Linked DNA regions of Mus musculus. The protein of the gene in region 2 interacts with the protein of the main gene of each other region in a pairwise test. Links are inferred from orthologs where the notes say so. Each region holds a gene or a part of one and is shown on either strand. Other genes may lie near its edges. The genes, in order: Fkbp1b and Trim69.

What was found.
Region 1: the proteins of Trim69 (region 2) and Fkbp1b interact in binary tests that used the Homo sapiens proteins (3 or more experiments, as listed by UniProt). The two-hybrid records come from large-scale screens. The link is inferred for Mus musculus from reciprocal best matches to the Homo sapiens genes TRIM69 and FKBP1B.

Annotation. Positions count from the first base shown.
Region 1 is NC_000078.6:4,838,493-4,842,793, forward strand, and holds the start of Fkbp1b (peptidyl-prolyl cis-trans isomerase FKBP1B), read right to left. Parts: upstream 3,082-4,301; 5' UTR 2,944-3,081; coding exon 2,907-2,943; intron 2,749-2,906; exon of another isoform or gene 2,594-2,748; intron 1-2,593. UniProt on the Homo sapiens protein: Has the potential to contribute to the immunosuppressive and toxic effects of FK506 and rapamycin. PPIases accelerate the folding of proteins. It catalyzes the cis-trans isomerization of proline imidic peptide bonds in oligopeptides.
Region 2 is NC_000068.7:122,170,596-122,174,411, forward strand, and holds part of Trim69 (E3 ubiquitin-protein ligase TRIM69), read left to right. Parts: intron 1-2,550; exon of another isoform or gene 2,551-2,558; coding exon 2,559-2,792; intron 2,793-3,644; coding exon 3,645-3,667; intron 3,668-3,754; coding exon 3,755-3,816.

The DNA.
Region 1 (4,301 bases), on a different chromosome or scaffold from region 2:
TTGATGCTACTGGTCTCAATTTCCTAGTCTAAAATTACTCCCTTACTTTCATCTATTTTACAAGTGTTCAGGAATAGCCTACTACGTGCTAGACCAGAATCATGAATAGCCTACTGTGTGTCAGATGACCAGAGACAGAGAGTAATATATGAACCCGTGAAGAAGAGAAGCACAAACCTAAATCTCAGATTGCTATAGAGTCATGATTACATCAAAGATGAATATCATTAACAAGAAATCAATAATGACCAGGCCTGTGCCCTCATATCAGAGATACATCGGAGAACAATAAAGACAGGAGCCCTGCTCTTCTAGGGTCTACCTTCTTTCTTTTGTGTACATGGGATGGTCATGTGGGGTGCAATGGAGTGGGGTGTGTGTGTGTGTATGTCACACCTAGCTTTTTTGGATGAGTGAGGAGATTCAGGCTCAAGTCTTCATGCATAGCTAGAGCTCTTAGCCACTGAGCCATTTCTCTGGTTTACATTCTAATGGAAGGAGACAATGCTCACATAAATATGATCATTACAGATGGTGATAAATCCTTTAAAGAAAATGAACACTGATGAATTTCAGAGAGACACAGAGAGCTGGCAATTTCAGAAAGGGTGAGCCAGGAAGGCATTTTGAAGAAGATGAGGTTTGAGCTGCTGCTTAAGAAGGAACCAACTCAAAAGACCATGAAGCAGGAAAAGATTGGTGCACTTTCAGAATAGGAAGGAAGAGGGTGAGATGGAGGAGAGGAACATGACAGTGATGCACCACGCAGCGTGCAGAGATGGGTCCCATACTAAATGCAATTGGAAACCACTGATGGGTTTAAAAGCATGGAAATGACCTAATCTGAATTAAGATTTTATAAGATCACTCTAGCTCCCGAGTGTGGGATGGATGGTTAGACATCTGTTGCTATAGTCTAGACAAGAAATCAATGGTTGCATGAATTAGCAGAGAAGAGAGTGAAATAGATTAGAGATACGTTTTGGAAGCAGGGCTGACAAGGGCATGCAAGTGGATGAGAGGAAGGAGCCCACTCCCCATCTCACCATTGAATGGTGGGAAAGGATTAGGGTTTGGGTAACCGGAAGGTGGTAGAGCTGTTCTGAGAGATGAGAAAACTGGAAAGGAACAGATTTGTGAGGGTGGCAATCTTGAGCTGCCCATTAGACATGCAAGTTTTTACTGCACAGAGGCAGATGCAGAGCCAACCCTGGATAAACAAACTGGGTGGAATAGAAAGCTATGAGACTGGATTAGGAGCTTGGGAACATAACAACACAGTCAGCGGTTAGTGGACTGTAGGAGCCTACCAAAGGAAGCCAGAGAAAGCCCCACAGAAAACAGTTAAATTGGCTGTTAAAAGATGGGTGGGCGTCTGTCTGGAGAAGTAAAGGGACCTGGGAAATAGAATTAGTTGTAAGACATGCTCGAAACCTGGAATCCAGAGTTGGGATGTAGCTCATGTACAGCAGGTGCCTAGCAAGCACAAGGGTTCCACCAGGAAACACACAAATCCTTAGGGTCCTAGAGTCCAGTCACAGTGAGAGCCCATTGGTTCCATCCTGTAACCCTAGGTCCAGCACACAGTGTACACGTTCCATAAATATCTGCTAAATGAGTGGTTTGTTTAACAACTCACAAGTGGCTTGGTGAAGTTGGTTGTGGATGCATGGATAGTAAGTATCGAAAGAGGAAGTGCCAGTGTGGATCCCTCCCGCCCTAGCAATCACCAAGAGGGCAGCTGCTTGCAGAAGTAGGGGGAAGAGTCTTTTAATGATTTTCTTCCTGAGGGAGGGGCCCTTAAAGCTCTGCATTTTAGGGGACCTGTGAGAAAAATGAGGGGACTGAGAACGGAAGTCAAATGGAAGGCGGGGAGAACGAAGATGGGGAGACAGCTCAGAGGCTGTGTGGGTGACAAGGCCTGGGAAGAAACGTGTATCTGCAAGGAGTGATCTGGGCAGTATCGGGTACTTCCAGGAAGCCCTCGGTTTGTAACCAAGAAGCCCTTTAACTCCCTGCGAAGGAGCATGCCAATAATATCCAACAGCAAGTTTGCTTGTTAAACACTCTGGACCTTGGGGGTGGCTTTTGGTCTGGATTAAATTTTGCTTAAGAAATAGCTACTCCTTGAATATGTTGAATACACCCAGTTTTCTAAATAGTTGAGGAAACTTGGTGAGACAGGGAACCCAGAGATAGATAGACTGGGAGGAGGGGGTGGGGTGGGGCGATGAACCAAATTATGGAACGCGAGTTGTTTTGACCTGGCTGACCCGGCACCATGGACCCCCCAGGAGGATCAAGCAGCAGGTCCGAAGGCTGGGTTTTGACTGAGGAGGGCATGGTAGAGGGCAGATGACCAGGAAGGGTGAGTAGGACCGGGAGGGTGAAATAGGAAGCAGAAGCAGCCAAAGGAGTGGCAGGCTCCCAAATTGGCTCTCTCCACAACTAACCACTGCCCAGCCCTGGGGGCCTCCAGACAAGAGGGGCGGGGAGGTGTGGTGCAATAGGAGGGGTTTCTCTGTACAGCAGGAACCCCCAAAGCGAGATCATCCCTGGAACCGAACAGGAAAAACGGAACAGAAATTCAAACCTGGGAAGTCAGTAGCAGCGGTTAATCGAGAGGTTGCAGCTCAGGAGATAGCAGCCGCAGCCTAGGACAGTGGCTGGACATAACCCCCTTGCCCTAAGGTGGCCGCCTTCACTCCCCAAGGTGAGCGGGCGCAGAATGGGATGGTGCGTTGTCCTCTGAAACCCACAAGAATCGGGGAAGGAGGTCTCCTCCTGTCGCCCGCATCTTTGACCCTCTCCCCGCTTCAGGTCCCCGGAGCCACCTCGGAATCAGATCCCAGCCCGCGGACTCCGCCCCGGGACCCCTCCTCCTCCCGGGCCCAGCCGCCCGGTACCGTCTCCTGGGGAGATGGTCTCGATCTCCACGCCCATCACGGTCCCACAGGCCCCGCCTCCAAGGGGGTCCTCGCGGCTGCCCCGACCCCGGCTCCGCTCTGGCGCGGACCCCGCAGGCACTCCCGCTCGCCTTCTTGCCGCCACTGCAGAGCCGGAGGAGGTGCGGCTGGAGTCAGGACCTGCGCGGGGAGGGGCCGCCGGGAAGGGGGCGGCGGGGTGGAGCTGTGCGACAAGGTGGGGTCGGCCGGGGCGGAGCCCGAGGGAAGCGACCCTGACGTGGCTGCTCCGGATCCTGGCCAGACTAACCACCATTAACCCACTGGCTGAAAGGGGAGGCAGGGTGAGCGAGGCGTGCCGGCACTAGCACATCCACACATCTATCCACTCAGTGTATATTTATTTAGCACCTACAGGGTGCAAAGCCCCAGGGAGTCCACTCAATCCTACAGACTAGGAGAAAGTCGGTAATTAAACTAACTCTTTAAATACGTGTGCTCAGTGCCGTGGGGTTCAGAGTAAAACGGAAGCACCCGAGACTGATACCTACCCGGGTTAGGCTTCCCGAATCTATTGGAGCAGAGCCGGCGAAGGGAAGAAACCAATTATTGACGAATTTTCCTCAACCACCTTAAGACCACATTCATCATTCCTCAAAGTTTTACAGCAGGTATATGTATTGGAGGTCTCACCTTTCAAGGTAAAGGACTGCTCCCTGGGGATTCCAACTGAATTAAAGGAGGATCAGCTCTGTGCTGAAGATACAGCGACAGCCTGAATGGTGAATGCTATAGAAGGAATGAATGAATTCTTTTACCTCTACCCAAACCAAACCAGGATCTAAAAAGATACTTTTGTCCTTCCCCAATCCGAATTCCGCTTCCTTGGTCCTGGGACTTGAATCCAGGGAAGCCAGGGCCTGTTCACTCACGCTAAGCTAACAGAGGTTACGTCCATGGCCCCTAGGAAGATACATTGGGAGGAGAAAACATTTGCTTGAAGGCTGAAGGAGACTTTAAGAAATGCCCCCCACCCCCATCTTTTCTACACCCGTTGCACAGATCTGAATTTGTTTCTGACAAGAGCCAATGGGAGGTGAGTATGGGAGAAGGACCTATTTATTCAAAGGCCCAGAACTGGAACTTGACGCATTTTCCTCAGTTTCTCCATCTCCACTCTTCCAAGTGGCTAGCTCGCAGATACTAGCTTGCCAGGATACAAGGACTAAAGTTGGTGCTCAGAAAAGCTGGTTTACGGTACTGTGCACGTTAGGATCAGAAAAAAACCCGTGTGTGTGCCCTAGAGTCGTCAGGGCTTAAGGCAAACAAACAAACAAAAAAGCTTAAGACACCCCACCCTCCAACCCTGACCCTCACCCCCCTACTGGTTATGGCCTT
Region 2 (3,816 bases):
GGGAGTTAATGGGAAGTTCTGATCCTTCATTAATTACTCTATGTAAGAGAGCCATCTTTGGCATTTGGTACCTGGAAAAATACATATCCCCAGGGAAAGAAAGACAGACAGAGTTACTGAAGCATCCAGGTAATTTTGTTCTATTTTGTAGTTCAGCTACTATAGTCAATATTTGTTCATTCAACAAATACTTATTGAATGGGTCAATGGGAGACAGTTGTTAAATGATGCCAGCAATACCAATAAATAACAATAGCTACTATTACCATATGATAGGAAAATTCAGCAATGAAGAGAAATCTAAGAGAACCTGAAGAAGTCACTTGAGCTGGAGATGTACTCAGTTGGTGGAATGCTTGCCTAACAGGCATGAGACCCTGAGTTATACAGCCAGTATCACATAAACTGGGCACAATGGCACACACCTGTAATTTCAGCACTCAGATGGTAGAAGGAGGATCAGAAGTTCAAGTCATCTTTGACTTCATATCTAATTTTAGGATAGCCTGGGATACATGAGATCCACTACCAAAAAAAAATTTTTTTTGAGGACTGTAGGATCAGTAAGTTAATCAAATGAACTGTGTGAGGGAATATGAAAGAAGGGTCCTGGAGAAGAGTGTAGAAGGGCGAGAGAAAGCTACATGGAAAAGTCTAGAAACAGGATGTTAGAAAAAGTCCAATAAAGCTAGAGCACACCAAGCGAGATAATACTAAAGAGGCAGAAATGACCCAATCATGCAGGTCCTTATATGGAAGAAATGAAGTATTTTTAACTTGATCCTGTGACATGAAAAATAAAGATCTGTAAGCACTACATAGTTTCATCTCGTTTTGAAAATGCCTGATGGCTGTGTGGAAAATGGCTTAGAGAGACAATGATAAGACCACGTGGTTCGAAAACTCTTACAGGTCAAGAACAAAGGTACTTGATTAGCCTAAAGAGGCAGTGTATATACAGAGATAAACAAGAACATGTGGTGTGGGGAGGAAATTATATAGATATGGTGACGGATTAAATATGAGGAATGGATAGCGATATCAGATAGCATTTGGATTTAGAAGTCTGGAGCTCAAAAGCTGTGGGAAAGCTGTCAGCACTAGGTAGTATCTAATATATAGTAAGGGTGGGGGATATTGGTTAGAAAGTGTAGAATAAGCTTAGGACAGAACACCAACTAATTTTAATATTTAAAACTTGTTTAGAGAAAGGAGAACCAATTAGACTGGGGAATCATGGGAAAGGTGAAAGGGAAACTGGAAACACATGGGTTGGAAGAATGATGGAGGTCAGGCTACCTTAAGAGGTGGTGATGGACCGGGCAGTGGTGGTGCATACCTTTAATCCCAGCACTAGGGAGGCAGAGGAAGGCGGATTTCTGAGTTTGAGGCCAGCCTGGTCTACAGAGTGAGTTCCAGGACAGCCAGGACTACACAGAGAAACCCTGTCTTGAAAACAAAACAAAACAAAACAAAACAAAACAAAACAAAACAAAACAAAACAAAACAAAAAGAGTGTGGTGATGGTTGTCCATGGGATCTAAGCTACGTAAGACAAGCCGTGAAGATAGACGTGTAAACAGAAACAGAGAGTCAAAGATTATAAACTGATTAGTTTCTTGAAACAGGGTCCATCTCTCCATGTAGTTCTGGCAGCCCTGGAACTTACTTTGTAAACCAGGCTAGTCTCAAACTCATATAGATCAGCCTGCCTGTGTCTGCCAAGTGCTGGGATTAGAGCCAAGCACCACCATGCTCAGGCTGAACACAAACTTTGATTGAGATTCAACAGTGCTGCAGTAGGGAGCAAGTGAACTTGGAACAAAAAAGTTGTTTTGGAAATGATGCATTTTGGGAGGATGATGAAATTCTATGTGTGGTTGAAAATGAGGCACAGGCACAGGCACAGGCACAGGCACAGGCACAGGCACAGGCACAGGCACAGGCACAGGCGCACAGGCACAGGCGCACAGGCACAGGCACAGGCACAGGCACAGGCACAGGCACAGGCACAGGCACAGGCACAGGCACAGGCACAGGCACAGGCACACTCACACACAAGCTGCAAGTGCAGCAACTTTCAATTTTAGTGCTTTGTACATTGTTCATATACTGTTTCTTTTATGTGGTCCTGGCAAAAGGAGTAGTTTTGATTTTAACAGGATAGGTCTCCCTAGTCTAACAGCATCAATTGGTAGATACTAATTTGTCAGCCTAGGAAAGTATTGTTAGTATTTGTTTTAGAATGTTTGATTGACTCCACATCATTATTTAAGAGAGCACAGTTTATCATCTAATCACCAAAAAAAAAAAAAAAAACCAAAAAAACAAAAACAAAAACAAACCAACAATTGAAAACAAAGCCTCTCATCCTACACCATTAAACTAGTTGGGAAAGAAGGAATGAACCTCCCAAAGGGCTTTGTGTACTAGGATTGAATGTCGATGCTAGGCAGCCATTTGTGTGAAATTCCCCAAGGTGTGTGGTGTGGTGTAAGTCCCTCTCCCCAAATGCTAGTCTCAGTAGTAATCGTGGTGATGATTATGGAGGTTTCCAGGACAACAAGATACAACTGCAACAAAACCTTTCCTTGGAGTTTCTAAAGCTACATCAGTTTCTGCACAACAAAGAAAAGGACATTCTAAATGACCTCCGGGATGAGGGGAAACTCTTGAATGAGGAGATGGAGGTGAATCTGAACCAGATTCAGGAGCAGTGTCTTGTTGCCAAAGACATGCTGGCGACCATTCAGGCACGGATGGAACAGCAGAACTCCTTCGACTTCCTCACAGTGAGATTCTGAATCCAATTGATTATGGGGACACTTGGAAGGAGGGAAGAGAAACTGGGAGTGGGGGGTGGAAGGAAAGCAAATCATAACCAAGCTCAACCCAACCCAACCATGTCCTAACCTACCCAACCCAACCCAATTTAACCCAACCCAACCCGACTAACTGGAGCGCTTGTAGGTCCTTGGGGAGAAAAAGGAAGCCATGTTTACTTTATGATCAGTGGAAATTTTTACTTTCATCTTCCTTCAAAACGTGATAGGACAATTTCACTAATAATGCTACATGGATCAGTTCTTTCTTACTTCCCCATATAGACCACAGAAGCTTTATTTTTCAAAAAATATGTCTCTTATAGTGTTTGTAGAGTTTGGGCCTTGCAGAAATTATAAACTGAAATATATCTAAAAAGCTTTTTGTCAAACTTTTGCTACCTGAAGTCTCACTTCTAGAGATCAGATGATTGGCGATCACTCCAGCACTCAGAAGTCTAGTTACCCTTCCCCCTCAGATCGTTTCTGATCTTTTCTTGGCGGAGTATTTGGAAGCACTCACTTCTCAAAGAGTTGATCTTAACTATGGGCTTCCTGGCTCTTCTCTTGTTTCCTATGAGAGCTGGAATTATAGAAAATCAGAAGGTTACCATGTGAGAGGTCAGTTTATGCTGGGTTAGCCTGGGATGCTGCTTAGCAAAGTCTGTAGAGGATGAAATGTTGTTGGCGATGGCCTGAGGACCATCTGTACAGGAAGCCAGTATTGATGATCAAACCTGGATGGCTTTCAGTATAACCAGAGAAGTTCCTAGAGATGATGAACAGGCATCTGACTTCTCTATTTCTTCTTTTCTCTTCTAGGACATCACAAAGCTCATAGAGAGGCAAGTGTTTCTTCATGGTTCTCTCTACCCTCCTTCTTCTACCCCTGGAGAATGTCTAAAACTAAACTGTTTGTGTGTCCCTTACAGCATGGAGAAAGGAATGAAGACAATTGTACCTAGACAGCTCATCGCCAAAAAGCTGAGCCTAG